Linked DNA regions of Drosophila melanogaster. The protein of the gene in region 1 interacts with the protein of each later gene in a pairwise test. Each region holds a gene or a part of one and is shown in the gene's direction. Other genes may lie near its edges. The genes, in order: sordd1, CG30344, ssx and Sap30.

Region 1 (6,818 bases):
CGTCAATTGATTGACTTGTCCACACAATCAATTTAGCAACATTCTCTGATTCGGTTTAACAATACTTAGCACGGCAAGTAGAAGCAAACAGTGAGCGAAAACAAACAATAAAATGAGGGCAAACAAGTCAGGTTTTGCAAACAATACACTTACAATGTAAGTAATTTTGAGAAGTTATACTATTTGCTGTGCCACAGGAAGTTATATATAGTTTAATTAAGTTATAATGCGTTTAAACGCAATCCCTGGAACTCGATGTATATGAGCATATAATTCCCCTTGACTCCAATAGGAAGTGCTCCATGAAAACATTATGTGACATCTATACGTACTGTATAAATAAGCATATAATCGGTTCCAATGTACATATGTAACAGGTAGATGGAAACCTTCTAGCCCTATATACACGCGAGTGTTTGAGTGTGTAGATGTGTACATAAGTACGCACATAAGTCCAGGTACATATGCAGGTATACCGTCTTGTTTGCCAACGCAATTCAAACAAAATTTGACTTTTTTGTTTAATTTATGTGGGTGCAGCCAATGGGAATGTTCGGTGCATTATCCTTGAAGACTTGGTGGTAAATACGCCCTTTGGGCGGTTTTCGTAGCCATAAACACCACCCCATGGGGTCGGACAAATGCTGAATGCTGCGGAACTCGGGGGAAACCCCCTTCAAACTGCGCTTGAAGTATTTAATTAAATTAAGTCATATTCAAGAAAGTGCGGACCTTAGTTGTACACCAGAAATGGCCTAGGAAAATCATCTAAGCAATCTAGGCACTTGTCAATAGGGTGAACACAGACTTACTTAGCAAATTTGGGTTTCTAAATCATCCAACGTTACGTTGCAGCTTGAACGACTAAAACTTTACCCGCATCTTGGGCAAACCATGGAGGAACCGAAAAGTGTATCCACAGCGGAGCTTCCCAGCACATCAACCGGGGCATCGTCGTCCTCATCGACTTTGTCCAACAACGTGAGCTACGACAAGATAGCCTGGACTCGGGATATCACAGAACCCTTGGCTGAGGAGTCATCTACAAGTCAATTGCGCCCGCTGGGTACCTCGATTCCAACCAATTCGACGGCATCGGAACTGAAGAAGTCCAACACTTCGTATTCCTTTACTGGAGACTATCTATCTGGTGGCAATAAGGCCGATCTGAAGGGTGGCTATCCATTCGGCGGCACCGATACGGACACAAAAGCCAACGAAAAGGACAAGGAGAAGGAACATACCGCAGACGACTCACTCTACGAGTGCAACATATGCCTGGACACCGCCAAGGATGCTGTGGTCAGCATGTGCGGCCATCTGTTCTGCTGGCCGTGCCTGCATCAGTGGCTCCTGACGCGTCCCAATCGCAAACTCTGTCCCGTTTGTAAGGCTGCCGTTGATAAGGATAAGGTCATACCGCTGTACGGAAGAAATAGTACACACCAGGAAGATCCACGGTAGGTTTGAACCGCTTTCAACATGAGTATTTTTCAATAACCCAACTTATATGTGTTTTGCAGTAACAAAGTTCCACCACGCCCCGCTGGACAACGTACAGAACCAGATCCTGTTCCCGGGTTCCCTGGATTCGGATTCGGCGACGGATTTCACATGTCTTTCGGTATTGGAGCTTTTCCTTTCGGGTTCATAACATCTAGGCTCAACTTTTTCGAACCACGTCCACCTGGTAGGTTACATGCCATCTCAATAGTTCTGAGATTGACATTAAATAACATTTGCCCATGTATTTAGCTGATATTAGAAGGCTACACGAAGATGAACCCTGGGCCCTGTCAAAACTGTTCTGGCATTTTGTCGTTTTTGTGATATATGGGCTGCTCGTTCCAATAGTGCACGGATCATCCCGATAAGAAGAACCTATATTCAAATGTCAATGGAAAGCGTGCGAAGTAATCAAATAGCAGTATCCTCCAGTTAAATCAACAATATTGTTAAACTCGTTGGGCTATAGTCGTTGGTGTGATTAATTAACATAAATTGTTAGCATTCGGTTATAATTGTAATTTGAGGATTCGCAAAACAGAAGTGGATTGGGTCCCAAATTATTTCAAAAAGTCTGCAATACCCTACGACTTCAGCATAAAAAACTGAAATTTCGAAATAATTGGATCGTAATGATTTAATTCAAATGTAGATTTCAAAAATTGTATAAATTTATATTTTAAATTCTATAAAACATTAAAAACATTTATTTTAATTTATTTTCCGTGTAGATTATTATCGATGGGTGAAAAAAATCATTAAGTTTTTGCTTAACTTAAACTGCACAACATTCTTTTTAGGGATCAGGGATAACGTGAATTTCGAAGATGCTGAGGATATGGATGCATGTATGTACATGAAGATATCGGCTTATCTTGAGTATGAGATGTATGATATATGTACCTTCTACCGATCGCTCTAGAAGATCGCCTCCTTTAAGTGGGCCAGTTTGTTGGCAATGGAGGGGGACGCCTCATCACTGGCTCCATAATTGGCTGTGGTGATGCGCTCCACCTCCTGGGAATTGCCGATAAAGGATTCTGCTCCGTGCCAAGAAGCTCACTGCAACCAGAGTCACCAATGGAACATATAAATTGAAAAAGTTTTAAATTTCGTTTGCTTTGTTTTGAAAGAAGCCAGTTCTAATTAGGGATGGTCACGTGATTTCTGCACAGTGGGTGAGCTATCGATTACGACTTAAACGTTTATAGATGCATTAGCGTTGTACAAATCAGCTGTTCCTTGTTTTGGTTTAGTCTAATATCAATAAAATTATTGAATTCTTGACCTTTGTTGTGACCAGATCGTTAGGAACTAGAGATAGTCGAGTGAGTCCTGCTATCGATTGTCCATGGCACACAACAGCTGCTTATGAATAGTATTTAGTCTTGTAAATGTATTTAGTAGTTTATTTTGTTTACAAATCAATCGAGGACTGATCACTGATCACTTTTCAAAGGATTCATTGAGATCCGAGATTTTTCACCTAACTCGATAGTTATCGAACGCGAGCGTGGACTTTGGTCCGGTGGAGACGGGCTGTTATACAGGCAGCTATTTACCGATAGGGTAAAGGTCTATCGGCCTCGGTCAGGTATCGTCAGTGCAGTTGTTTTGAGGTGCTAAGACGTCAATTGATAAATTCCCAATTTTACCGTAACATAACACACTTGTCCACACAATCAATTTAGCAACATTCTCTGATTCGGTTTAACAATACTTAGCACGGCAAGTAGAAGCAAACTGTGAGCGAAAACAAACAATAAAATGAGGGCAAACAAGTCAGGTTTTGCAAACAATACACTTACAATGTATGTAATTTCGAGAAGTTATACTATTTGCTGTGCCCCAGGAAGTTATATATAGTTTAATTAAGTTATAATGCGTTTAAACGCAATCCCTGGAACTCGATGTATATGAGCATATAATTCCCCTTGACTCCAATAGGAAGTGCTCCATGAAAACATCATGTGACATCTTTGACATCTATACGTACTGTATAAATAAGCATATAATCGGTTCCAATGTACATATGTAACAGGTAGATGGAAACCTTCTAGCCCTATATACACGCGAGTGTTTGAGTGTGTAGATGTGTACATAAGTACGCACATAAGTCCAGGTACATATGCAGGTATACCGTCTTGTTTGCCAACGCAATTCAAACAAAATTTGACTTTTTTGTTTAATTTATGTGGGTGCAGCCAATGGGAATGTTCGGTGCATTATCCTTGAAGACTTGGTGGTAAATACGCCCTTTGGGCGGTTTTCGTAGCCATAAACACCACCCCATGGGGTCGGACAAATGCTGAATGCTGCGGAACTCGGGGGAAACCCCCTTCAAACTGCGCTTGAAGTATTTAATTAAATTAAGTCATATTCAAGAAAGTGCGGACCTTAGTTGTACACCAGAAATGGCCTAGGAAAATCATCTAAGCAATCTAGGCACTTGTCAATAGGGTGAACACAGACTTACTTAGCAAATTTGGGTTTCTAAATCATCCAACGTTACGTTGCAGCTTGAACGACTAAAACTTTACCCGCATCTTGGGCAAACCATGGAGGAACCGAAAAGTGTACCCACAGCGGAGCTTCCCAGCACATCAACCGGGGCATCGTCGTCCTCATCGACTTTGTCCAACAACGTGAGCTACGACAAGATAGCCTGGACTCGGGATATCACAGAACCCTTGGCTGAGGAGTCATCTACAAGTCAATTGCGCCCGCTGGGTACCTCGATTCCAACCAATTCGACGGCATCGGAACTGAAGAAGTCCAACACTTCGTATTCCTTTACTGGAGACTATCTATCTGGTGGCAATAAGGCCGATCTGAAGGGTGGCTATCCATTCGGCGGCACCGATACGGACACAAAAGCCAACGAAAAGGACAAGGAGAAGGAACATACCGCAGACGACTCACTCTACGAGTGCAACATATGCCTGGACACCGCCAAGGATGCTGTGGTCAGCATGTGCGGCCATCTGTTCTGCTGGCCGTGCCTGCATCAGTGGCTCCTGACGCGTCCCAATCGCAAACTCTGTCCCGTTTGTAAGGCTGCCGTTGATAAGGATAAGGTCATACCGCTGTACGGAAGAAATAGTACACACCAGGAAGATCCACGGTAGGTTTGAACCGCTTTCAACATGAGTATTTTTCAATAACCCAACTTATATGTGTTTTGCAGTAACAAAGTTCCACCACGCCCCGCTGGACAACGTACAGAACCAGATCCTGTTCCCGGGTTCCCTGGATTCGGATTCGGCGACGGATTTCACATGTCTTTCGGTATTGGAGCTTTTCCTTTCGGGTTCATAACATCTACGCTCAACTTTGGCGAACCACGTCCACCTGGTAGGTTACATGCCATCTCAATAGTTCTGAGATTGATATTAAATAACATTTGCCCATGTATTTAGCTGCTAATCGGGGAACAAGGCAATACGAGGATGAACAGACCCTGTCCAAGCTGTTTTCGTATTTGGCCGTTGTGTGGATATTGTGGCTGTTCTATGCATAGCAATCTGCGAACGCATAAAGACATCACCCCGATAAGAAGAACCTATGTTCAAATGTGTATGGAAAGCGTGCGAAGTAATCATATAGCAGTATCCTCCAGTTAAATCAACAATATTCTTAAACTCGTTGGGCAATAGTCGTTGGTGTGATTAATTAACATAAATTGTTAGCATTCGGTTATAATTGTAATTTGAGGATTCGCAAAACAGAAGTGGATTGGATCCCAAACTATTTCAAAAAGTCCGCGATACCCTACGACTCCAGCATAAAAAACTGAAATTTCGAAATCATTGGATCGTAATGATTTAATTCAAATGTAGATGTCAAAAATTGTATAAATATATATTTTAAATTCGATAAAACATTAAAAACATTTATTTCAATTCATTTTCCGTGTAGATTATTATCGATGGGTGATTGGGAGCGATTGAATCAATAGGAATAAAATAAATTATGGGTATAATAGAGGGGCTTTTAAAAAATCATTAAGTTTATTGCTTAACTTAAACTGCACAACATTCTTTTTAACTTGAAATGGCCATTGCCTTAAGAGCAAAAAAATAAAACACAAAATAAAACTGATGGCTACTTAAAATATTTTAGCTAAGCTAGGCGTTCGCCGAAACGGATTCCACGAACTGGATGAAACGCTGCCAGCGGGTCGCGAACTAGAGGATGTTTTCAGGTGGAGCTTGGGCTTGGCCGCAATACTTGTGGGACTGGGAAATCCGGATGAAATGCCCGATGAACTGGCCGCCGATAGCGTTGATAATGAGCCCTTCGACGACAATGGCTGTGCGTAAACAAGGTGAATTTGTTTGCTGATTTTTTACGTATGATTAATAAACAAAATGCACCTTCAAGTAGTTGCGATCCATGGGCGTTATCACTCTCAGCTCGAGTGTAGAGCCGCAGGATTGTATGAGCTGCACCACCTGCTGATGGGAGTACCACTTCACGTCCACGCCGGCTATCTCGACTATGAAGTCTCCCTCCTTGATGCCGCCAAGCTGAAAATAATGCCTACAGTATACGACGAATCGATGGAAGTAGCATTTACTTACGTCTGCCAAAGAATTAATCTCAACGTGGGCAATGATCACCGGAGCATCGCCGCGCACATGGAAGCCAAAGTTCTCAAACTCCTCCTTGTACAGATTGTATCCACCATCGTGCTCCTCGTCATCATCGTTATCCAATGGGCACTTGTTGTCATTGCTGGGCACGCTGTGATACAGGGAGGAACCTTTCTGGAGACGCACACATCTGGGCGCTGTCCAGTGGCGTCTCGCCGAGAATATTGCAATCGGGCCGAGGCGCTTGAAGGGATCCTTAACCTTGTGCGATGTGAAGTCGGGTCCGGTCAGGGATAACGTGAACTTCGAAGATGCTGAGGATATGGATGCATGTATGTACATGAAGACATCGGCTTATCTTGAGTATGATATATGTACCTTCTACCGATCGCTCTAGAAGATCGCCATCTTCGATATTTTTGGCTGAAGCTTGCAGTCTGAACTTCTCGAGCTCCTCCTGCGATTTGGAGTGCACCTCCTTCATGACTTCAGTCAGTGATGCCTTGTTCTTAAAGATTAAAGTTAAAGGTTAGGTTATTAGGCTATAGGATATAAGAAGTATATTTACCTTCAAGAACCGACACATCCGCTGCAATCGCTGGGCTTCCTCGATACTGGCCAGCGCCTCCTTTAAGTGGGCCAGTTTGTTGGCAATGGAGGTGGACGCCTCATCGCTGGCTCCATAATCGGCTGTGGTGATGCGCTCCACCTCCTGGG
Region 2 (7,706 bases), on another chromosome or scaffold:
TTGTTTTTAGACGCATTCTTGCGGGCTATATTCAGTTCGTCCTCGATCTTGGCCTCCAGGAACTCCTGCTTTTTGATAAGCATGTTCTCCGTCTCGCGCAGCTTCTGTATCGCCTCGCCGGTGGTGGGGGCCACTTCCTTCTTGCCGCCGAACATCTTCCCGAAGAAACTCATCCTGGCTGATCTGTTTTTTCACCCGAATTTAGCGAACAAGTGAGTTTTTTTCTGCTATTGCGTTTCTTGGTTGTCTGGGAGCTGTTGTTCGTATGCGTCACCCGATACCGATTGCCGTCCCCTATCGTTATCGCCTTTGTGTATGCGCTTGGCGGAGTGGCATATTTCTCCCTTACGCAGCTGGCCACTCTGGTTAGCAAACGCCGAAAAATAAATAAATATATTCGGTGCATTTTCACATTTTGCACTGCTGCCAATAGATACCCGAATTTCTGGATTGAAAAGTCCTATTTGAGTTACGATTGACAAGGAACAAGGGTTCAACTGAAAATGGCCAACCGCACGGTGAAGGAGGCCAAAAACGTGCACGGCACCAATCCGCAGTACCTCATCGAGAAGATCATCCGTTCGAGGATATACGACTCTAAGTACTGGAAGGAGCAATGCTTTGCTCTCACTGCGGAGCTTCTGGTGGACAAGGCAATGGAGCTGCGATTCGTCGGAGGCGTCTACGGCGGCAACATCAAGCCCACCCAGTTCCTCTGCCTCACACTCAAGATGCTGCAGATTCAGCCGGAAAAGGACATCGTAGTGGAGTTTATCAAGAACGAGGAGTTCAAGTACGTTCGAGCATTGGGAGCCTTCTATCTACGGCTCACAGGAGCTGCCCTGGACTGCTACAAGTACCTGGAGCCGTTGTACATAGACAATCGAAAGCTGCGCCGCCAGAATCGCGCCGGCCAGTTCGAGATTGTCTACATGGATGAGTACATTGACGAACTGCTGCGCAACGACCGTGTCTGCGACATTATACTGCCCCGCATCCAGAAGCGCTCCATTCTCGAGGAAAACAACGAAATCGAGCCCAAGGTGTCAGTGCTGGATGAGGACTTGGACGACGAACTGCCCAGCGACGAGGAGAAGGCAGACGAGACCAACCGGCCTAAGGAGAATTCGACAGCAGTGAGACGACCACGGAGAGTTCGCTCCAAGTCAAGGTCCCGCAGTCGGGAGCGCGAGCGAAGATCTGGGCAGGGCAACAGCGCCCGTTCCCGGGATTACTACGACGAACTGGAAGACTACGACCGCCAGCGAAATAGGGTGCGCAATCGGGACACCCACAACGAGGACTATGACCGTCGGCAAAACAATGGACGCCACGATCGCGAACGAGAGCGCCAAGATCGCGACAGTATCAGGGAGCGCGAGAGGGACGGCGACAGAGATCGCCGGGATAGGGAACGAGAGCGAGAACGTGACCGTGGCCGTCACGACCAGCGGGAACGGGACTCGCGAGGAGAGCGTGACCGACGACGCTACTAAAATTATAAATAAATTGAATTAATTAACCAGTAAAAAGTGTCAGAAAATTTAAACCACAAACTCTCAATTCGCCGCAAGTTGGCATCCCTAGCACTAAGAATCGAAAATCGAAATCAAAACAATAACACAGAAGAAGAAGAAGTCAATCAGCTGTTGCTGCTTGCATTTAGAAAGTTTCGAATAGAGTAACGTTAACTGCGGGAGAATCCAGCCAGCTGTACTTGTGAAAATAATACACGTACCAGGGATTTAAGCAACAATAAATCCACGTTAATCAGCAGTAAAGCAGCTGAAGCTTTAGTATCTGAAAACTCTCCGTCGCGTTTGGAAGACTTTCAGGGAACTGCGCAGCGTTCTGGTGAATGAATTGTAAATTCCATTATCTCCGGTAGACTGGTGTAAGCCAGACGCATCCACGAGTTCCGTTCTCGATAGCGAGCAAGTAGGAACGGAACGGAACGGCAGTATGCCTCGCTCTGATACGGAGGCTTTGGTGGCCGATGTGGAGACTGGCGAAGATTCGGCACCACGCATACTGGACGCATCATCTGCGGCCAGCAGTGAGCAGGTGGACCCGCCTCCGGTACCGCCGCCTCATGACTACAGCAGCTATCGCTGGTTCATCCTGGAGCCCGCAGTTTTTTTAATCTTCTTCGCCAGAAATTTAATTGGTATAATGGCTATAGGGCAGTAAAACCGATTGGATTGCATCATTGAATTAACTTTGTGTGCGTTTTAGGGGCGGTTTATCAGAACCAAATTCTCTACCAAACCTGCATCACCATCGAGAAATTCAATGCCACGCAATGTGAACCGCTGCTGGGCATTGATCGCGGATCGGACGCGGATAAAGTAAGTATTTAATTTGACCCTTATAGTATACACATCATGTACAATTTGATATCTGTACTTTGTGTAGTTTCTGTTCTCGTTGCCTGGTTTTTATCTCTGTGCAAATTATTTTTGCTGCTTTGCTGGGCGTTTCGTGTTGTGATTTTATGGCGATGAGGAAAATGGCAATTTTAAACAAATTTATCCAGTAACTGTAAACAAAAACTGAAGTTTAAGTTACAAAAACTGCTGAACAATTTTAAAACCACAATTAATGTATCACAATATTAACTTGTTTTACGAGTAATTGCTACTATTATGACCTTTGCTGTATAGAACAATGTATTTCGCATTTGGCTCGCCGATATTCTTCCAAGACGTGACCTACTTAGTATATCTTACTATATCAGCATCCGACGTGACAAAGTAAAATCAAATTAGCAAATCGTCTCAACCTAATGCAAAACTGCCATTGTTTGGAGGCTAGAGATAAGGTAATTAGAACGCCAGTCGAGGCTTATCAACGGCCGGAATAGAAGTAAGCAAAATCCTTTGTTACTGCATTTCGAAGCAGTATCGAAGTATTTACTAGGAAAGCGTTAAAATTATAATTATACGTACGAGATATGGCACATTGACTCATCCACAGTTGTACAGTTGTGCAGTTTACTAAAGTGAACTTCTGTTTTTTCAGGAAGTCGAGGTGATAGTACAGACGTATTCTGCAAATATTATGATGACAACCTCTCTGCTAGAGAGCATTATTCCTGCCTTCGCGAGTCTGTTCCTGGGTCCCTGGTCCGACAAGTTCGGAAGGCGGCCAATCCTGCTGACAACTTTTACGGGTATATAATCATCAGTCAGGACATCTTAATTGCATCTTGTACAAATGACTCTTATTGTATTTAAAGGCTACCTCACTGGCGCACTCATACTGATAGTAATCACTTACATAACGAGGTCCACGAATATAAGTCCATGGTGGTTCCTCCTTTCCTCGGTTCCTTCCGTCGTAAGCGGCGGAACTTGCGCCTTGATTACTGGAATCTATTGCTACATATCCGATGTGGCCAAGGAGCGAAAGAAGGCTCTGAGGTGAGTATGGGTAGTCTTGATTTATTAATCCAAAGAATGCCATTTCATTTTGATATATTATTTGAAAGAATGGTCCTCAATGAAGCCTCCCTCTGTGCTGGCATAATGGTGGGCAATGTGGCCAGCGGTTATATCTATGCTGCCACAAATGCTCTGGTGTTGTTTTCCATTGCTGGTAGCCTGATGATGTTTGCCTTGATGTACGTGCTTCTGTTTGTACCTGAAAGCCTAAATCCAGGTGACATTCACACCGGAGTAAGTAATTTCTATAGCTAAGAAGAAACGAATATCTCAACACTCCTTCCCTCATTTTTAGTCGCGAGTCCGTGAGTTCTTCCGTTTCGATTTGGTCACGGACCTGATTCGCACCTGCTTTAAGAGGCGCCCCAACTTTGATCGCACAATCATCTGGCTTACAATGATTGCCCTTACGATAGCCATTTTCGACATGGGTAACATAATTCAAACTTAAGATTATATGAGTTAATTTATAATGATTTCAGAGGGAGAGAGCACTGTAAATTACATGTTCGTGCAGGATAAATTCAACTGGACCATTAAGGACTTCAGTCTATTCAACGCATCCCGCATCGTGATCCAGATTGTGGGCAGCATCGTTGGCATGTTGGTATTGCGCCGCGTTCTAAAGATGTCTATCGTAACCATGGCAATGCTCTCCCTGGCTTGCTGTGTTCTGGAGAGCACGGTTCGAGCCACAGCAGTCTACTGGCAAGAGCTGTATCTGGGCATGACGCTGGGTATGATGCGTGGCGTCATGGGACCTATGTGCCGCGCGATTCTCTCGCACGTTGCACCCGCGACTGAAGTTGGTACGTACCCAAAGTGTTTAGCCTGCAAATACCATTAACTAAAACCATATGAAATAATTTAGGCAAGATCTTTGCTCTGACCACCTCCATGGAATCGGTTTCGCCACTGGGCGCTGCACCTCTGTACACAACCGTCTACAAGGCAACTTTGGAAAATTATCCCGGAGCTTTCAACTTTATTAGCGCCGCTCTCTACTTTGTGTGTTACATTCTGATAGCGTAAGTCCTACCAAGCACAGTTCAAGTCCAGTTTAAAGCGAATACTTTTCAATACAGCGTGATCTTCGGCATCCAGAAGTCGATGGGTAGTAGCAGTGTCTACCAGGCCATTGGCAGCTAACAAACTCTCCAGAGCACCGATTTAGCTGAATGTATCTCATAAGTTAAATTCCTTCTGCAGGCGCTGCGAAGAGCTCTCGTTTTAAAAGATTAGAAACTATTTGTGTAAATTAATCTAGTGTTTGTACTCCTTGTATATTTTTGCAAGTATTATTATGATTTTGATCAGTGTATATGTATATATATACTATATCTGCTATTTGGACTGTGTTTTGCATGTGCAAGCATTGTAAAGTTAAGAACAAAAGATTTAACTGTTTGCAGTGTGACAATAAAGTGTGAATACATCGAGCATTCAATATCTTTGAGCATAAATCGAATGGGAATTGTGTGTCGCGATGTGAGGTTTCTCGAGAGGGAGCCGCTCGAGCGTTCGTGCGCAGATAGGGCGCAGCAAACGCTTTGGTTTGCTCAAATTGGCAATCGCTTGCTTTGTTTGTTTACGTCGTCTATTTCAGCTGCTCCCTCCAGTTAGTCTATCACTCGAGTTCGGCGCGCACAGATGTTTAACTCAGTTCCCGCTACGATATATTGCTTGGCTGAATGAATCGTTAATTCCTTTGTCTACACGATAATTGCTGCGATCACCGCGACCTTTACTGAACCACAAAATGCCGAGAGATGATGAGGAGCCAATTATTGGCGCTGATGATGAACCGCTGGACATCGAAGTGCGGTCGCCGCCACCCAGCAATAGGACATTCTCTAGCTGGCTAAAACGACCCCGCTCGCTTATTTTAGAGCCCGCCGTGTTTCTGGTTTTCTTTGGCAGATTCCTAACAGGTGTGTACATACATGTATGTGTTTACTGTGTTGTGGGGGCGTTTATAAATCAGATTGTTTACATCAGATGCCGTTTACCAGAACCAGATACTCTACCAGACCTGTGTCACGGTCATGAAATACAATGCTACCGAATGCGAGCCATTTCTCGGTACGGATCGTGCCTCCGATGAGGTTAAGGCAAGTTGAAAAGCAATAGGCGTATATGTATTTTTATGCATAAACTTTAATGAATGCGATTTCAGTGATTCTATAATTGCATTTCAATTAGAAGTCATTGTTGTGGGAAAAAACCATTCTCGGTTTATATACATTCTTATTGTTTTTCCTTTGTGGGTTCAAGTGTGATTCGTTCCATATGCTTGTTAACATTAGATGCGGATTGAAAGCTATGTATTGCTGGTATCTTAAGTTAACTTATACTGAAGAACCTTTGTCGCACCTGTTTTTGCTTATCAGTTGACCGCAACAAAAGTAAACCCAAATTGTTTATGACTAATGACTCGTCTTATCACAAAAAGTTATCGACCACAGTACACAAATCGGGAATAATATTTCGACATGCATGTGTGCAGATATTTAAGCCCGGCCAAAACACCTAGTGAGTCATGGAAACGTGACGACCGCTTGACGGGCTTATCAGCCGGCCTTTAGAGAATCCCCTATCAACAGAGTTCCCATTTTGCAGAAGATTGAGGGGCAAGTTCAGGAGTATGCCTCGACCATCACAATGATAAGCTCGATGCTCGAGAGCACCGTTCCCGCCATAGTAAGCCTCTTCCTGGGACCCTGGTCAGATAAGTTCGGCAGAAGGCCCATCCTGCTATCCACGTTTACAGGTGAGAATGCCATATGATAATCTCATGATCTAGTGAACTCTATAAAGTATCAGTCTTATTTTGTAGGCTACCTTTTCAGCGCAATCATCCTGGTTGTTCTTACTCAAATAACGACTGCTGTCAATATCAGTCCCTGGTGGTTCCTTTTGTCCTCTGTGCCATCGGTGTTCAGCGGAGGCACCTGCGCCCTTATCACCATCCTCTACTGCTATGTATCCGATGTGGCCACCGAGAATAAGCGGGCCATGAGGTGAGCGTTTCAAAGAGGTTACTTCGATTGAATCTTATTGAATGAATTCGATGAACGTTTGATCTAACTATCTTATATTCATTAATCCATTTTTCTCCCAGAATGGTGACCATGGAAGCTGCCCTTGGCCTGGGCATGATGGCTGGCGGAGTAGCTAGTGGCTATATCTATGCGGCTACTGGAGCTTCAATACTCTTTATCTTGGTGGGATCGATTATCTCCATTGCGCTCTTATACGTATATTTCTTTGTGGCCGAGAGTCTGAAGTCCGAAGATTTGGAAACTGGGGTAAGTACAATGTTCTCAATCAAATGTCAACTGTTACTTAATTACGTAATTATTGCCCAGTCCCGAATCCGCGAGTTCTTCCGTTTGGACCTGGTTAAGGTCCTCGTAAAGACCTGCATCAGGAAGCGCGAGAACTACGATCGTGCTATCATCTGGTTTGTGATGATGTCGCTGACACTGTGCGTTTTTGCCATGGGTGAGTGACATTGATATAGATGCTTGCTCCAGACGAGGAACTTACTAGTCGGTCGCATTCCAGAGGGCGAGTCCACAGTGAACTACATGTTCATGCGGAAGCAGTTCGATTACACGGTCCAGGACTACAGTGTGTTTAACGCGGCGAGGGTGGTCATTCAAGTGGTTGGCAGTACCATCGCCATGATCCTACTGCGCCGCCTTTTGGGACTGTCCACCATCATGATGACACTCCTGGCCTTCGCCTGTTGTGTTCTTGAGAGCACGGTCAGAGCCACGGCCGTATACGGCAGCGAGATGTACTTGGCCCTCATGGTGGGCATGATGCGGGGCGTCATGTCGCCCATGTGCAAGGCCATCCTGTCGCACGTGACTCCCAGTTCGGAGTTGGGTAAGTTGGAGGAGAACACGGACCTTCTATATATGTTCTAATACCTGTTCCATTCGTAGGTAAAATCTTCTCGCTAACTACTTCCCTGCAGTCCATTTCCCCTTTGGGAGCGGCACCTCTCTATACGGCCGTGTACCAGGCAACAGTTAACTTCTATCCGGGAATCTTCAACTTCATCAGTGTGGGACTGTACTTCCTGTGCTTCTGCATGTCGGCGTGAGTTTTCCTTTTGAGTTCCGAAAATTATATGAAGCTCACTAAGTAAATATCCCATTGCAGCGCGGTATTCGGCATTCAAAAGTCAATGGGCAGCAACAGCGTTTACCAGGCCATAGGCAGTTGACCCAATATAGTTGTGAACCATTCATA
Region 3 (8,887 bases), about 14 Mb from region 1:
TTCTGACACCTTAACTGTGTGCCAGGAAACCGTTAGTTTACTGGGAAGAGTGAAACGGTCGAATGTTACGAGAACTTTTCCAAAAGGTTTGGGGGTGCCGTCGATCATTTTGGTAAATTTAAATACGCTGTGTACATTTTGTGATTTTAGTTCCTCAACAATTTCGTTTTCTGGAATGTTAATAAGACAGGGAGCGTAAATGGTGCCTTTGACAAAGTTAAGAGTGTTGTGGAGCTTGCACTCGATATCGCATAAGCCAGGTAAAGAAGTCACTTTGATAAATTTGTCACTAATTTCCCTGGAGTTAACCAGCAAGAGAAGGTTACCATCCCGAAGATTAGAGATAGATGTAATGTCTTTGCTGATATACTTAAGGGCTCTATGGACAGCAAAGCAGTTGTAGTCGGATATGGTTTTCGGAGAGTTTTTTGATGAGACCACTAAATATCTCGGATTTTTGCACTGCGTTTCAGGGAGGTCTGGGAAATCAACTTGTAATTTTTGAAAGGGTCTTTTTTTCTTAGCTTTGGGGCTAGCGCTGAGACTGGCAAAGCGATTATCCCCCAAATTGAGTGGCCCGGGGGCCATGGTTAATAAATTTATGGATATTGAATGTTTTTGATTTGCACGTACGCGTTGATAAGAAGATCAAGAAGATAAGATGATAAATATCAATGTAACGGCGATGGTAATTACGCGATAAGCAAAGCTCACACAATTGGAAAGACACAGACGTCCGCACTCGAAGAGAGATAGTCGGTGACTGCGTATCCTAAATTAAAAATGATAAATTAAGCTGGGTGCTCGGTTCTTGGGAGTAGGATCTAAGCATAGAATAATGATGGGGGACTAGGAAACAAGCCTTTTACTGGATTCCCGAACCAGTTACGCTATTCCTTTAATTTTTACTTCACAGACTTGGTAAGCAGCACTTCCTGTCAATTTATGGAGTTATATAAGGAGATTTATCGCCGGATTGATAATTAAAACTGCTCGACATGTCGGGTGCATGTTGGACATGGACTCGGCAGACTGCAGACTGGCGGCGTGGTGGCGTTGTGGCTGTTATGCAAATCGTGCGACTGGGAAAGCAGTTTACTTTTACTTTTCAAATCGATTATATGTGCACACAGCCGCCATTTCGTGCCCGCCCAGAGCACACTAACCCACTAAATCGCTTCAAGTGGTATTTTGGCATTCGGAACGAAATGGGTTTGGGCTATGCAATTCGCGAGCTTCCCAAGTGGAGTCGTTAACCCGCCGCCGAAGTCATTATCTAATGGTAATGTGCTGCATTTTAATTGCTCACTTCGTTCGTTTATCGATCGAAGTGGACGCACCTTTCACCCGACACTTGCAGCTTGCAGTGGGGATTGCGAAAATCCCTTCTCTTCATCTCAATCCATCATTAATCCATTCATCATTAATCATCAATCATCAGGGATTGGCCCATGAGTGAACTGTCGCGAGCAATCGGGAAGTTGTCTATCGGTGGCTATCGTTGGGATTGGGAAAACGATTGGCAATGGTGATAAACTAATAGAATTGCAATTAGCCTATAGATGGTGTTTACTGCCCGATCATTAGTGCTTGTCCTTGGAATTCAGAAGGATCTTTCACGTGGGCAAAATTGATTACATTGGGCCTCTCTTTCCGTTTTGTGATTTTTTCTATTTGCCTATCTTTGACCGTCTAATTGCCTTGCACTTGCATCGAATTTTTCAACGTCAACTGGTTTTTCAACTGGGTGGTTGTTAACCCGTTGATTGACAACGGGTTTCGGTTTCTCCTGCGCAGGAAACTGGCCGCCGCCGCAGCAAAGGCCACATGCCGTATACGTAATCCGCTTTAATTGAACCACTATCGCACGCACCTATTTTCCAAATTTTCCAAACAATTGTGGCAGGCAGCGGTCATAAATTACAACAACAGACTGAAGTTCGTTGCCGTGTGTTGCCATTGTTGCTGGTGTTGCACATTTCACATTTCGCTTGCCACAACTCCAGCTACAGGTTGGCCAGCGTTGGTGGGATTGGCCCAAACCGGGTATAAATCGAATCTGGTCCCGAACGCAGAGCCACATTCAGTTCGCCACTGCCAAGAGGAGCACTTCGCGTAACGGTCTACAGTTTCGAATATTTTTTTTGATTGTGCCCCAGTGTGTGATTCAAAAGCAACCAGAAAACCATGCTCAAGTTGGCTGTAAGCACCGAAACACTTTACAAACATAGATTCGTTTAATGGAATGAACGTTTTCAAGTCAATAAGATAGTTTATGAAAAACAAGAACCAAATATTTCTGAATATTTCGGAATGGAAAATGGAATGCATGTTCTGTTTTTCAACCTCACCACCTCATTAACAACTTGGAAATATATTTAACATTAGATTTTTAGTTTAAAATGGAATACCGCATTGACTATATTACCCATTCCTGCAGATTACCTGCCTGGCCCTTCTGGCCGTTAGTGGAGCTCTGAAGATCCACGACTACCACCAGGGGCACGAGGAGTACGAGCACCACGACCATCATGAGCACCACGAGCCGGAGCACCATGTGAAGTACGAGCCGGAGCACGAGGAGACGGAGCTGCACCACGAGGTGGACCACAAGCACGCCACCTCGCACCAGAGCGTCAAGTTCCACCACTACCATGCCGTGCCCGTCTACATCAAGAAGGAGGACCAGCACCTGGTGAAAAAGCCTATCGAGATCGGCGGCACCAAGCAGAAGCTGAAGATCCTGCACCCGAAGAGTGAGCACAACCACAACCACGGACTGGTGCTCGAAAACCACAGCGAGTCGCACCACGAGCACGGCCACTACGAGGAGCCGGTGCACCACTCGGAGCACTACGAGCACTACTCGCACCACGAGTAGGACTTGGACTACCAGAATCGGAAATGCCAAATGAGCTGTGGGGATTTCGTTAGCGTTTAAGGATTTGCTACGTTAATTTTCTTGTGTTAATAAAGCGTTGACCTAGAGTATAGAGTACCACCCAAATCAAGAGATCTTATATTATATTGCTTAAACTTTTTTGATTGCTCCACTCTGAATTTGCCACAACTTCTTTCACAGTGTATTTAACTGCTCAGGTGAACTTCGATAACGATCTATCAATAATTGAACGCGCAGGCAATTTATCGCACCACGACCGCTTGTGGTATTTCTGTGTTCTGGTATATTTTTAGGTTCAACCCTGGCGAAAAATTGTTTTTGGCATAACTGCTATAAAGTACTGAAGAAATTCAATAATAATCTTAACAATGGCAATTAGACAAAAAATGGTTTAAAACACTTGATGCCTTCCAGAGGCGGACGGCATGAGTTATCGAACTATCAAAGAACTGCTGGCCCCGATAGGTTCCGATACAAATCGCACCGCTATCGAAGAAGAATTGACTTCCATTGTATATCGTTTGGAAACGCAAGAAGTGCACAAAACTCGCTGCTTTCCGGTGCAGTTTGTGAAGAAGTTTGCTAAAAAGTGAGTATTTTGCACCTGCAGAGTATTCCGTGGCCGCCGCTGGCTGCTTCCCGAGGACTCCGTGCTGCCTACGCTTTTTCGTGTTGCTTTTTTCGGCTGCACGGCCCCAAGCCAAAAAACACGGACGCATCGCCTGCCGTGTGTATGTGTGCGTGCGTGTATGGGCGAGTGCGCGAGTGTTGGTAGTTACTTTTCCAGCAGCTTTTTCCAAGTATTGCGGGTAGCGCCGGAGTTGCTATTGGGACTCCCTGGTACGGACCCCTAAAAAGACCAGGGGCGGGCAGTGGCAGGCTACCGAGTGCAACCGCATTCCAGCAAAGCTGGCGCCCTCCGTCCGGCTCCTCCCCCTTGGCTCGGCTGCCGAGATGTACACACACATATTCGGATTCTGATTTTGCCGAGAGGAAGTGCAGTTCCGGAGTCCCGAGTGTGGAGCTGCGCTCAATCTGCATCCTGCAGCCGCGCAACAAGGAGCATCGCTCGTCCCTACTGCGACTCCTAATCGGAATCCCTCTTGAACTTCTTCTTGGCGAACTAATTGATTTGCACTCTCTTGTATCGTTGCAGCTCGTGGCGCCAACTGCGACGCAAACACGCAAGAAACCCAGACAAACAGGAGCTATCAAGGCTTGACACAGAAGGTCATGTCCAACGCGGATAAGATGCAGGACCAGGAGCACGACGACGAGCAGTCCTCCGACATAGAGGTGAGTTTTTGGATTCTCTTAGCGAGCCGACGAACCTGTTTTCACGCGTATATTCCCGACTATTCGCTGCTTCGGTGCAGGGATCCGGCGACAATGTGGGCCGTGATGACGGCACCGACGATGACGACGACAGCAACGGCAACATGCAGCAGGAGAATGGAGATGGCGGCAACGGTGGCGACGGCCAGGAGCACTCTGGCGACGAGGAGCAACACCACAGCCAGGACAACGAGGGCAACGATAACTCCGCAGGCCAACAGCAGCAAATGCAGCAAGTGGACCGAACCAGCGCCACCAATCTGATCATCAATTACTTGCCACAGGACATGACCGACCGCGAACTGTACAACCTCTTTAGCGGCTGCGGGCCCATCAACACCTGCAAGATAATGCGCGACTTCAAGGTAAGTTCGGTTGTGGCCGCCTGAGCGCCCAGAATACCTGCTGAACTGCACGTAACAGGTGCCATCCCTGTCGCACGTTGCATGTACACACGAATGCAGCTTACACTCCCCTCTGCTTTGTATGCCCGCCAACGGAACAGACCGGATATAGCTTCGGCTACGGCTTCGTGGACTACAAAACGGAGTCGGACTCGGAGGACGCCATCCAGAAGCTAAATGGCTTCTATGTGCGCAACAAGCGATTAAAGGTGCGTTAGAATCCCCCGGAATTCCCATGACTCCTTTGTGACTCTCTTTTTCGTCTCCCTCAGGTGTCGTATGCTCGACCGGGTGGGCAGTCCATTAAGGATACGAATTTGTACGTCATCAACCTGTCGCGAAACATCAACGACGACATGCTCGACCGCATCTTCTCGCCCTATGGCCTGATTGTTCAGCGAAACATCCTGCGGGATAAGCTCACTGGACGACCGCGCGGCGTTGCTTTTGTGCGGTGAGTACGGGTGCGATCTGCGTGTGCAGCATCCACGATTCGAAATTAGGTCACGGTGCTCAATTCCCGTCCAGTGTGCCCCACTTAATTGTATGCTCACAGAAATCCACGTCCAAATTTATCATGAGTTCGACTGGTGGCTGAACTGCACTTACTTCGATTCTGCTTTTGAAACCCGCTTTCTTGCTTGCAGTTACAATAAGCGCGAGGAAGCTCAAGAGGCGATCAAGGCGCTGAACAACACGGTGCCGGAGGGCGGATCCCAGCCAATCTGGGTACGACTCGCCGAGGAACACGGCAAGGCCAAGGCGGCCCAGTTTATGGCCCAGATCGGAGGTGGCAATGGTGGCGGAGGCGGTGGTCCGCCCCACATGGGCCCAGGTGGACCGATGCACCCACCTCATCACCACAATAATCACCATCACAACAACCACCACAATCCGCATATGCCGCCGCATCATCATCAGCCGCAGCATCCACACCAGCATCCGCAGCACCATCCGCAGCTGCACCACATGCAGCACCACCATCCCAACAACCACAACAACAATCACCCCAACAACCACCATCATAACAACAACAACAACAACCACCACAACATGGGCGGCCCGCATCCGCACCACATGCAGCAAATGCACCCGATGGGCATGAACATGGGCATGGGCGTAAACATGGGAATGGGCATGGGCATGGGCATGCCCATTCACGGAGGCGGCGGTGGTGGTGGTGGCGGCGGCGGTGGAGGCGGTGGTGGTAACTTCCACCACATGGCGCACAGAGGTAGATCAAATAGAACAACACGATCTCAAAAACCGCATCCATATAACCATGCACAGAAATTTATTTAAACGCCATTAATTTCTTTACACGATATTAGCTGCATCTCACAGGTGAAGTGTTCATGCTGCCATTGCCGATTTGCAGCCGATTCCCCAGCCAGCCGCATCCCGTAGGCAATGGCATTTGCCACAGCCCCAACAAGAACAGCAGATTCCGTTTAAGCCGCCGCCCGCAAGCCTCCAGAACAACCATCAGATATATTGCGCATTCGGTGGCAGATCCCGTTCCCACTCCGACTACCTAGTGCCGCTCTACTTTCCAGCCCCCGCCCATCCATCAGTTGTTTCCATCTCCTCGCCAGCTGCGTCACTTTCGGCCTACCCAGCTGTTTTGGCCGTGTATGTTCCGGTATATGTCACGGTTCCGGTCTCTCTTCCTGTTACCATGAACAGAGCCAGTCCACAAGCTTAAAGTGAGTGCAGACGGAGGCGGCGGAGGCGGTGGCCACATGGTAGAAGCGAGTAGAAATAGATTGAGTGCAATCGGAGGAGGGAAGAGGAGATATTACCCAGAAGCGATATCCAATAGTAGCCAACTCTCTCGCTCTCTATGTGTATGTATGTATCTTGCTATCCATATATGTATATCCATATCAGAGAGCCAGGATTGGTTGAGACCATACGATATAACCCGAAACCACACTGGCCAGGAATAGCAAATCCAAGCATTGGCAGCAAGAGGCAAAGCAAAGGTGCACGGCAGACATAGGCAGTACCACAAGAACACTATCACAGAATTAAGCAGAGCAAATTAAAGATGCATAGCGTGTATTAAGATGTACGAAATAATGTTCCAAAGTTAACCAGCCTACACAATCCCCAACAACACACACACACACACACATAAAGACGGTCGGAGTCGAATCCTTGATCGAACCACATAAGAAAAAATTCCAATGAGTTTGTATGAGCAACATACAAAGCCCCAAACGCAAACCATCAGCCACTCAAGACGAGACGAGAACGCAACCAAAACTCAAATATAACTTTCCTGCACTCATCTCCAGTTCACGAAACAATCTTCGCTCTTGGTGGATTGCGAATTGTAAATGAATTGAGTAACTGCACGGATGCAAAGCCCCAAGATGTGGCGACTATTCCGGCCGGACACTGTGAGACGGACGTTACACACACGGATATATAGAGAGACGAACCTTATGACAACAGACAGAAGACGCTTGCTCTGAATAGATGGTTAATTTGTAGACTTATAAGGAACGTCGACAGCGAGGGTTCGTTCGCGTCACTTGCTTTTTACTACATTATAAATAAATTATTGATGTACTACCAACAAACCAAGAACAAGAACACCACACTATACAAACACCTATATATTAGATAATATATATGAATGATGTATAAATACCCGAACTTCGGGTAAACTTCCAACAGAAACCCGACAAGAAGATGGCTGAATATGAAATAAACTTGAAATTTTCCAACCAGCATACCCGTGAGACCCAGAGGTCCGAAATTTTTTTTTTTTAGTATTGATAATCTCTAAACGTAAATCCTAGTCTCGTAGCAATATCATAGTTAAGGTGACTTTTTTTTCAGAATAAACTTAAAGCACGAAAGAAATACATGTATTTAAACCTTAAATCCTAAAGTTTATAATAAACGAACACAAATTGAATTCTTGAGTCTGCGAGCGAGATGGTGCGATGCAGCCTCAGCGAAAGAGAGCGAGAGAGATGATACAGATTTGAGGTACAGTCAGCACAGTACAGTGCGGATCAGAGCTTAAGTTGACGATATACTATTGTTGTAAATTGATGTTAGGCTAAGCAAATAAATAGTTAAAATGTTCAATTTTCGCTTAGCTGAATCCTGATCGTCGTAAAAACGCATTTACACGAACATTATATACTAGTCATTAAGCGGTTCTATTTGACAGGTGAAAACAAGAAGCTGTGGCAGCCTTTTACTACAGAAACTAAAAAAGAAAAATACAAAGCTTGACATATACACGCATATTTGTGAACAAACTGAATTTTACCATACATCTTTGAGAATTTTAGGACAGTATTCTTGATAATCTATATTGAATGTTGATCTACACTTAACGTTGCACAAAAGAGGTATCTTTCTGACCTTCTATGCGCGTGGAGTGGATCCAAAAAATCAACTTGGTGTAATAAATGTGTATTTAAATCACAAAACGGGCATCTTTTCCCTTTCAATTGGACATCAGAGAGTTTCGACAACGCACACCTACTAGTTTTTTTGCGAGCTTAACTATTTCAAATGTGGTTGAGTAAAGCCATTAATATTGCTTTTTATAAATTCAGCATAAGTGGCAAGATGGTTTTAAATTGCGCGCCACTGCGGAACTACCTGGCATCACTGGCCGCCACTTATCGATAGCCACTGGAAGGCGAGAGAGAGAGAGAAAGAGAGGGCGCGAATCAGCTGCTGGAACGAGTGTTGTTGGAAGGCAGTGTTGTTGGAAGTGGCAGCGCCTTCCAATGTCAATTAAATAAGCAAAACGCGAAGAAAACCCAAGCGTAAAGGAGAGTCTCGTTGCCGCGCTCGAATAGAAATCCAGGAAATCAGTATCAATTCAACCGCCCTTGACACATCCACAACCACTTTGACATCCGAATCCGTATCCGGGCGAGGTGGCACGGCTGGCAGGAAGAACGTAACGTGAGTGGCTGCTCTATTCTATTCTATTCTGTTGATTCAGCGGAGTACACTACGCAATAACCGATAACGACCTTACCACCGCTCCCCTCTCCGCGCCCATCCGCAGCGGAGCAGTGGAGCACCCCCAGTCCAACAAGGAGCTACCTGCTCGAGATGCCCCAGATGAGGGCTGCGGCCGCTGAGGCGGTGGCCGCCGGCAGCGCCAATGGCCAGCCGCTGGTCAAGATTGGGCACTACCTACTGGGCGCAACCCTGGGAACGGGAACCTTCGGCAAGGTGAAGATCGGCGAGCACCAGATCACAC
Region 4 (6,999 bases), 990 kb from region 1:
CCCGAGAGTTTCGGAACTCTAGTTGAAGTCAGGGAATGTTTGCAACTGTAAGCTTAAAGTAAATAAACTAATTCGCTCCAGGCGAATACTACTAATAATAGCTTACTAATTTATGCAAATTAATGCAATTTCGGATGTTTCTGAACGCAAATCCTAAGTATTTACTGATAAATTAGTTGTTTCTCTTTTAGAAGTTGTGGTTTAAATTAAAGTAGTCATTCAATTGTTAGCCTCTTGACCAGACCTTCTCACTCCCGTCCCTTTGAATGGCCTTTTGCTCTACTCCTGCTCCTTTTCCTCTTCATCCTGCAGGGTCTGTGCCAGCAGCTCCTCGACGGGGTCATCCTTCAGCGACTGGGTGATCTTTTCGAGGACCAAAGGCTGTCGCTCGCGCACCGCCTCATCATCTTCCTTGTCCAATTGCAGGCAGGCCAGTTTGGATAGCCTCGAATGTTTGCTGCGTCCAGCATCGCGTCGTCGCTTGCGGGATGTGGACTTAGTTTTGCCCCCTTCTCCAGTCTTACTCTTGTCCTTCTTCTTGGCTTTCAATTCCTTTTTCGTCGCACCATCTTTGTGATCCCTGAGCAGATGTCTCGCCAGATTCTGCGCACTGCTGAAACAGCGGCCGCAGTCCAAGGCCTGGCACTCGAAACGCCTGCCCGAGTGGGCGGTGAGCATGTGCTGGCGTAGATTCCTGAGGTACGAGTAACTCTTGCCGCATCCCTCCTCGTTGCAGGTGAAGGAGGTGGCGCACTCATCCGTCTGCGCCGCCTCCTTGTGCTTCACCTCGAGGTGACGCTTCAGTTCGCTCGGCTTGTCGAAGGCACTATCGCAGCGGTCGCACTTATGGCGATTCTTGCCGTGCAACGAGTCGCGACAATGCTTCGTATACAACGTCCATTTGTCGAACTGCAGCGGGCAGCCGGGACACTCGTACAGCTTGCAGCTGGGCTCGTGACTCTGGCACTGCCACTGCTGGTAGAAGCCGCGCGAGCACTTCGAGCAGCTGTACGGATACTCCAGCGTGTGCTCCCTGATCTCGTGGCGCTTCAGCTTGAGCTTTTGCGAGAATTTGGCACTGCACTGGCTGCACGGATAGACCTTTGGGCTCTCGTGGGTTTCGCGCATGTGGCGGGTCATGTTGCTAACCGAGATGAACATCTTGCTGCACTCCTCCAGCGCGCACTTCACCGTCTTCTTGGCCGCCGACTCCGGACGCTCGTGGGTGCTGCGCAGATGCCTCTTTAAGTGCGTCACAATCGAGTACGTCTTGTCGCAACCCTCGTACGAGCAGGCGTGCTTCTTCTGCAAAGTGGTGGCGGCGTTACTACTGGCTTACACTTAACATACTCTAACTATACTCACAATCCCTGTGTGATGATACTCATGGCGATCCAATTGGTCCAGCCGCTTGAATGTGGCCTCGCATTTGGGCATGCTGCACGCGTACTTGGCCGAGCCGATGCTGTTGCGGCGTCCCTGGCGCTGCTTGAACTCCTCCAGAGCGGTCTCCATATCGCTGTCGCTGGCAATTTGCGTTCCAGGCGGCATTTTTGAGGGTTTTTATCTCCGAAATATTGCAATCTCTTTTTTTTTTGTGTTTTAGGTTACCGCGACATCCGCAAATGTCGTGGAATTATTTGGCCACACTCGTGTACGTGGAAATAGCCAAGGACTTAAGGTTGAAGAGATTGATTTTATTTCAATTTGGTGTAGCAAATCTATAACTTATAGGTTTCTTTTAATTTGGTGTAGAAAATCGATGATGTCCCTGGTAAGCGTTTATGATTTCGTTTTTGGAGAGATGGTAGATTTTTTGGTATTTTTCCAGGGCTGGAAATTGCTGCCTAGCAGTGTTGTACTGCAACAACTGAATAAGATGTACGATACGTTATCGAAAACGTTACATTGGTCACATTATTATTCATTTATTCAAAATATAATTGTCACATACGTTATAGCTAAGATTTTTTTTAATGTGCCTGGGAAAAGTTTGCAGTAACCCCGTTGTTTATTTGCAGAAAATTCTGCGTATTCCTTTTCCCAGTCTTTTTGAATGATTCTGTTTAATTCTCCAACTCACTACGGTGAAAATTCCTTGCGTCGATGCATTTAACAAATATATGCTTGTTAGTCCCCCGTCTCAGAAACTACAATCAAGAATTGGTCTGAAGACGAGTATAATAATATTCTATATAGACAAGCAGTCAGATACGCCTGAGAAAAAGGAAATTCAAATTTCATTGCACTAACGTGAGCTAGTGATGACAAAAACGGTAATTGGCTCAACTATCGTACCGGTGTGCGGTACCTATCGGAATTGGAATCAATGCTGGAAAAGGTAACTATATTTTGGTACACGGTATTTTTAAATTTAAGTACTGAAATTAACTAATATTTATTTAATTAATATTTTGTGCGATTATTAATACCAATTAAAAAATATTGATCGATAATCTGGAAAAAAATGCACTTGATATTTAAGATATTTGAGAAACTGCAAACAGTTTCAAATTGTCCGCTCTTGCCAGCTGCGGAGGAATTTCCCCATTTCCCAGTTTGGTCACATCGCGCTGTCGAAAGAAAATTTTTTTCTTGCAAAGAGAAACAAAGCAAAGCAATAGTCGAAAGTGAGAAAGACGAAAGAGGAGACAAAGGAGCGAAACGGAGAAAATCAGAGAAGCAGCAAGCAGAGCAGGAAGGGGGATTGGATAGGAACTCGAAAGCAATCGGCCAGGATCGGGAACAGGATGAACAACGGATTCAGCACCGGCGAGGAGGACAGTCGCGGGCACACGGACCAAACGTGCTGCCTAATCGACGACATGGAGCGGTGTCGCAACCAGGCTGGCTACGCCAGCTACTCCAAGCGCATCCAGAAGACGGTGGCCCAAAAGCGGCTCAAGCTCAGCAGCGATCCGGCCGCGCAGCACATTTACATCTGTGACCACCACAAGGAGCGCATCCAGTCGGTGCGCACCAAGCGTCGGCGCAAGGACAGCGAGGACGACAGCAACGAGACGGACACGGACCTGCACGAGTTCCCCGATCTCTACCAGCTGGGCGTGAGCACGCTGCGACGCTACAAGCGCCACTTCAAGGTCCAAACGAGGCAGGGCATGAAGCGGGCGCAGCTGGCGGATGTAAGTTTGACCTAGTTAACGAATTGAGCAGGCTATGTCCACTTTCTGTTGCCGGATTTCAGTGGGGTAACACGCTGGTCTAATGTGCTCCGTGATGCTCCATAGTTGGCCCTCTTGTAGTAGCCTCCACTCTAAAGAAAAGGCAGAAAAATGTGCCATGCCCTTTATAAGGTTTTCTAAACCCTGTTTTAATCAAGTTGCAAACCTCTACTCTTCTCCCGCAGACAATTATGAAACACTTCAAGACAATACCCATCAAGGAGAAGGAGATCATCACATTCTTCGTGTACATGGTGAAGATGGGCTCGAATAAGCTGGACCAGAAGAACGGCCTTGGCAACGACACCACCTGAAGGCGCGTCGGCGGGCGGAGGGAGGAGGAGGACGCCGACGACGTCTACTCCTTTTAACGCTGGCCAACTGCCGATCAAAAGAAATTAACAACCAAACTTCTCACATTGTTGCTGCATTTGCTGGACGTCGGCATTGTTGACCAGAATAGGGATGAACGAGAATATTGATAGTGCAATGGCTCATCCTCATCCGTGTGACCCCCAAGAAACCCAATCCTATACCCATAAGCCACCACTGCCCAAACCCTTAAGCCTTTCCCCCGACTCCCCGGAACACAAGTAATATGCGAAAAGTAAAACAGCAATGAAAGAACGTAAGGAAGAAGGCAACTGGTGCTCCCACGAAAAACAAAACAAACAAAAATTAAAAATAAATAAACTAGTATGTTGCGAAAGTGAGTCTAATATTAAAAAAGAAATTTACAAAAACTATTTGTAGCCTTGGTCCGTTGTTAATAGCTCTTTATACACGCACTACATTAAATAAACTATGTAAATTTACAAGAGAATTAACAGAAAACACAACACACTCAATCAAATAGCAATTCGTATTCTTAGGCTTAAAGACATGTTTATTTGATCGTTTGTATTATACATCATGTTAAGTGAAGTGGGGCTCTGGCTAGACATCAGTTAGTAGTAACCAGATACTTTAAGCGAATCAAAACACAATTAGACTTCAATGTGAAAGCAAATTGAATCCGGAAGCCAATACCAATTATCGCTACAAACAGAGAAATAACGAACGAAATAATTTGCAATATTTAAACTAAAACATCGTGTCGTTTGCCCCGGCGGTTTGGAGATATATTTAGAGCTCTAGTTTAAGCCTAACTTAGACGAACATCGGTTCCACAAATCAATTGGAATTACGCATTAAACGATTTATGTTAAAGCCTAGACTGATTTTAGCCATACATATAAGCCTAAATAAAACTTAATAGAAAGCATTTTCTCTTAACTACACGACTATCACAACGGCTAGATGTATCGCTTGGCTTCCTCCTCGGAGTCGCTGTGATCTGGAGAAGAATCAATGCGTTATTAATGGGACTCCAGCCATGATTGCCAACTTACTTTGCTTCCTCGGCGGTGTCTTTTTGTTCGCCTTGTATTTGCCGCGACTTTGTTTGCCTTTAAGGCCTGCCTTCGATGGGCTTGCTTCCGAGCGCATGGGCAGTTCCTGGGAGTCCTCATCGTGTGGCAGCCAGTCGCTGGTGTCCATCGGTGCGCCAGCACTTTCCTCTTTGGACGGCTCTTCGTTGGCCACAGGCGTCTCACTGCTCTCGTTATTATCCAACTGCATTTTCTCGCTTGGCGGAGGTTGCTGCTCCTGTTTCTGTCTGCCCATCAGTTTGTTGTAGCTCAACTTGTGCTCCGTATTTAAAATCAGTGCCACCAGCCCATCGACCGATTGATCGCCCTGCGATCGACACTCTTCGTCCAGCGCCAAAGCTTTGCGTACGAAATTCAACAGAGACTTGCAACGAACCGCCGCATTGCGGGCACACTGCATGATGATGCGGGCATTTGTGGGTGCAGTGCCTCCGGCAGTCAGGCTGCACAGCTCCTGGAAGGAGTTAAAGCTCAGGACAATTACCGAATCGGCGGCGTTCTCCTCCAGCAGCGTAGGATCCAGTATTGGTTGCACACTGCTCTTGTAAACACAGTAGGTTACACTGACGGGATAGTGGTGGAAAAGCAGTGGAATGAATTCGCGCTCCTTTTTCTTAAAGATGCGCAGTTCGCCGTCCTTATACCAGACATCCGGTCGACGGAAGTGCATCAATGCAGCCAAAGTGGCTATGGTGCTGGCGTCTATAAGAAAGAATTGAGATATATAGATATATAAAAATATAAAACTAATATGAAGATTATTCTTTAAAAATGAAAGTATGGCCAAAGTATGGCTCCAACTGATAGCTTTTGATCATTTGTGAGGTAATCACGCTTTTCATCTTGAGATTGGTGCTTTTACCATACAGATTCCCGTCGTGATTGAGCACATTGACGTTGACACGGATGCACCACACATGCTTCTCGACGGCCACGCACAGAGATTCCAGATCGATGCTTCTAGAGCTGCGGAAGGTCCTCTCGAGCAGGGAGTTCAGTTTTAGCGATCGCTGGTCATGTGTGGTATGCGCCTCGTCCAGAAAAGCAACACCGCCAAGATATACGTTCAGGTGGATTTTGCCTTCGTTGGGCCGCGACAAGGCCGGCGGTCCCATTTCGCAGGTCACTTGGGCCAGTACCTTCGTATCGCCCATGGACACCGCCACGGAGCCCCAATCCTTGCCGAAGGTCAGCTCCACATCGCGGGACTCGTTGGAGCGCCGCCCATCGAGGCGTTGGTTTTGCTTCACCGCCAATTGGACGAAGCTTCGCTCTGGCTTCGATTTGCCCGGCTCGAAAAAATTTGAGTTATGGAACATCCTGGGTATTCGCTGGGAAGGATCCTTTCGATTTGTTTTGAATTCGTTTGGGACTGAATTTGGCCGGCTTTTAAAAACGTGCAGAGCGCGGCGTTGCCACTGCGATCCACATACATGCTGATCCGGAACTGGTTCCACGGAACTGGAACCATTAAAACGCATAATAAATATTTAGACATTTTTTTAGTTATGTGTAATAAGAAGACGATTTTATGGTGCACTACAAGGTGGCTTTTAGCGCCATAAACATTTAGGTATATTTAAACTAGAGTTTAAATTTTGCACAAATAAATATTTTTTTTTAGGTCGTTGGCTATCTAAAAAATAATTATTCAAATGCCTATACAGCTTATTTGGCATACAACTTAGGCAATAACTATGAAAGTAATGCACTAATTCAAGTTCTTCAATAGTATTGGCGATATATATACATATGTGTGCAAATTGTTTAACGTTTAACAGATGGCAACATTATTTTTATGAATTTTTTACTGGTTCACAAATTATATATATATATATATATATATATATATGTACGCCAGCCAGATTGGATTATCAATATTAAGTATACAAAGACTACAACATAAAAAACATAAACGTTATATAGTTTTTATGTTCCAAAACGCAACATATAAAGAAGAGTATTTTAGTATCATAAAATTACAGTTTCAAGCACAAAATATAGTTTGTAATAATGATTTCTATTATTTTTAAATAACAATCTAAAATATTTTAGGAACATAGTGATTCGTGACTGGTTCGCCACATCAAAACAATTTTGTAAGCCTAGGAGCCTATAGATAAATTAGTTCCAAAATAAAATGCAACACTTCATATTTAATTCAATAATTTTACACCAGGCATTAGTTGGAATTTTTATTTGTATTATCTTTAATTTTAAAAAGTAAAAAATAAGTGACTGGTTCACCAGGATCAGAACCTGCTACCGGATTGAAAATCGAACTAGAATGCCAGCAGCGGTGGCTCGACAGTTTTTCCAGATCTAGCAACGCCGTCGCTGAGTGTCGTTCTTTTTTGTGCTGGTTTACTACGTAAAAGTGTTGCTCG

What was found.
Region 2: the proteins of sordd1 (region 1) and CG30344 interact in a two-hybrid assay, tested with the Drosophila melanogaster proteins (one large-scale study listed by BioGRID).
Region 3: the proteins of sordd1 (region 1) and ssx interact in a two-hybrid assay, tested with the Drosophila melanogaster proteins (one large-scale study listed by BioGRID).
Region 4: the proteins of sordd1 (region 1) and Sap30 interact in a two-hybrid assay, tested with the Drosophila melanogaster proteins (one large-scale study listed by BioGRID).

The regions. Positions count from the first base shown.
Region 1 is NC_004354.4:15,792,309-15,799,126, reverse strand, and holds sordd1 (suppression of retinal degeneration disease 1 upon overexpression 1), read left to right. Parts: upstream 1-3,098; 5' UTR 3,099-3,125; exon of another isoform or gene 3,126-3,317; intron 3,318-3,551; exon of another isoform or gene 3,552-3,640; intron 3,641-3,710; exon of another isoform or gene 3,711-3,966; intron 3,967-4,025; 5' UTR 4,026-4,064; coding exon 4,065-4,630; intron 4,631-4,693; coding exon 4,694-4,860; intron 4,861-4,925; coding exon 4,926-5,026; 3' UTR 5,027-5,406; downstream 5,407-6,818. Other genes in the region: sordd2 (suppression of retinal degeneration disease 1 upon overexpression 2), read left to right, coding at 895-1,460, 1,524-1,690, 1,756-1,874; Rhp (rhophilin), read right to left, coding at 5,615-5,818, 5,883-6,035, 6,090-6,415, 6,480-6,609, 6,670-6,818.
Region 2 is NT_033778.4:9,143,625-9,151,330, forward strand, and holds CG30344 (uncharacterized protein), read left to right. Parts: upstream 1-1,635; 5' UTR 1,636-1,962; coding exon 1,963-2,167; intron 2,168-2,235; coding exon 2,236-2,348; intron 2,349-3,021; coding exon 3,022-3,172; intron 3,173-3,238; coding exon 3,239-3,422; intron 3,423-3,490; coding exon 3,491-3,677; intron 3,678-3,738; coding exon 3,739-3,874; intron 3,875-3,925; coding exon 3,926-4,252; intron 4,253-4,314; coding exon 4,315-4,471; intron 4,472-4,528; coding exon 4,529-4,592; 3' UTR 4,593-4,888; downstream 4,889-7,706. Other genes in the region: shrb (shrub), read right to left, coding at 1-173; Prp38 (pre-mRNA processing factor 38), read left to right, coding at 504-1,496; CG30345 (uncharacterized protein), read left to right, coding at 5,203-5,374, 5,442-5,554, 6,063-6,213, 6,280-6,463, 6,565-6,751, 6,812-6,947, 7,011-7,337, 7,397-7,553 and 1 more.
Region 3 is NC_004354.4:1,367,173-1,376,059, forward strand, and holds ssx (sister-of-Sex-lethal), read left to right. Parts: upstream 1-3,407; 5' UTR 3,408-3,491; intron 3,492-4,058; 5' UTR 4,059-4,135; coding exon 4,136-4,198; intron 4,199-4,278; coding exon 4,279-4,602; intron 4,603-4,701; coding exon of another isoform or gene 4,702-4,742; coding exon 4,743-4,850; intron 4,851-4,913; coding exon 4,914-5,095; intron 5,096-5,288; coding exon 5,289-5,875; coding exon of another isoform or gene 5,876-5,943; exon of another isoform or gene 5,944-5,985; coding exon 5,986-6,179; 3' UTR 6,180-7,505; downstream 7,506-8,887. Other genes in the region: CG14770 (uncharacterized protein), read left to right, coding at 2,188-2,202, 2,441-2,881; AMPKalpha (AMP-activated protein kinase alpha subunit), read left to right, coding at 8,737-8,887.
Region 4 is NC_004354.4:16,785,200-16,792,198, forward strand, and holds Sap30 (SIN3-associated polypeptide 30), read left to right. Parts: upstream 1-2,083; 5' UTR 2,084-2,341; intron 2,342-2,485; 5' UTR 2,486-2,750; coding exon 2,751-3,143; intron 3,144-3,367; coding exon 3,368-3,496; 3' UTR 3,497-4,445; downstream 4,446-6,999. Other genes in the region: CG9609 (uncharacterized protein), read right to left, coding at 280-1,305, 1,366-1,551; Rrp45, read right to left, coding at 4,478-4,518, 4,574-5,314, 5,475-5,931. UniProt on the Drosophila melanogaster protein: Component of the class 1 Sin3A-histone deacetylase (HDAC1/Rpd3) complex (HDAC). Appears to be a non-essential subunit of this complex which is not required for cell cycle regulation of progression through the G2 phase of the cell cycle.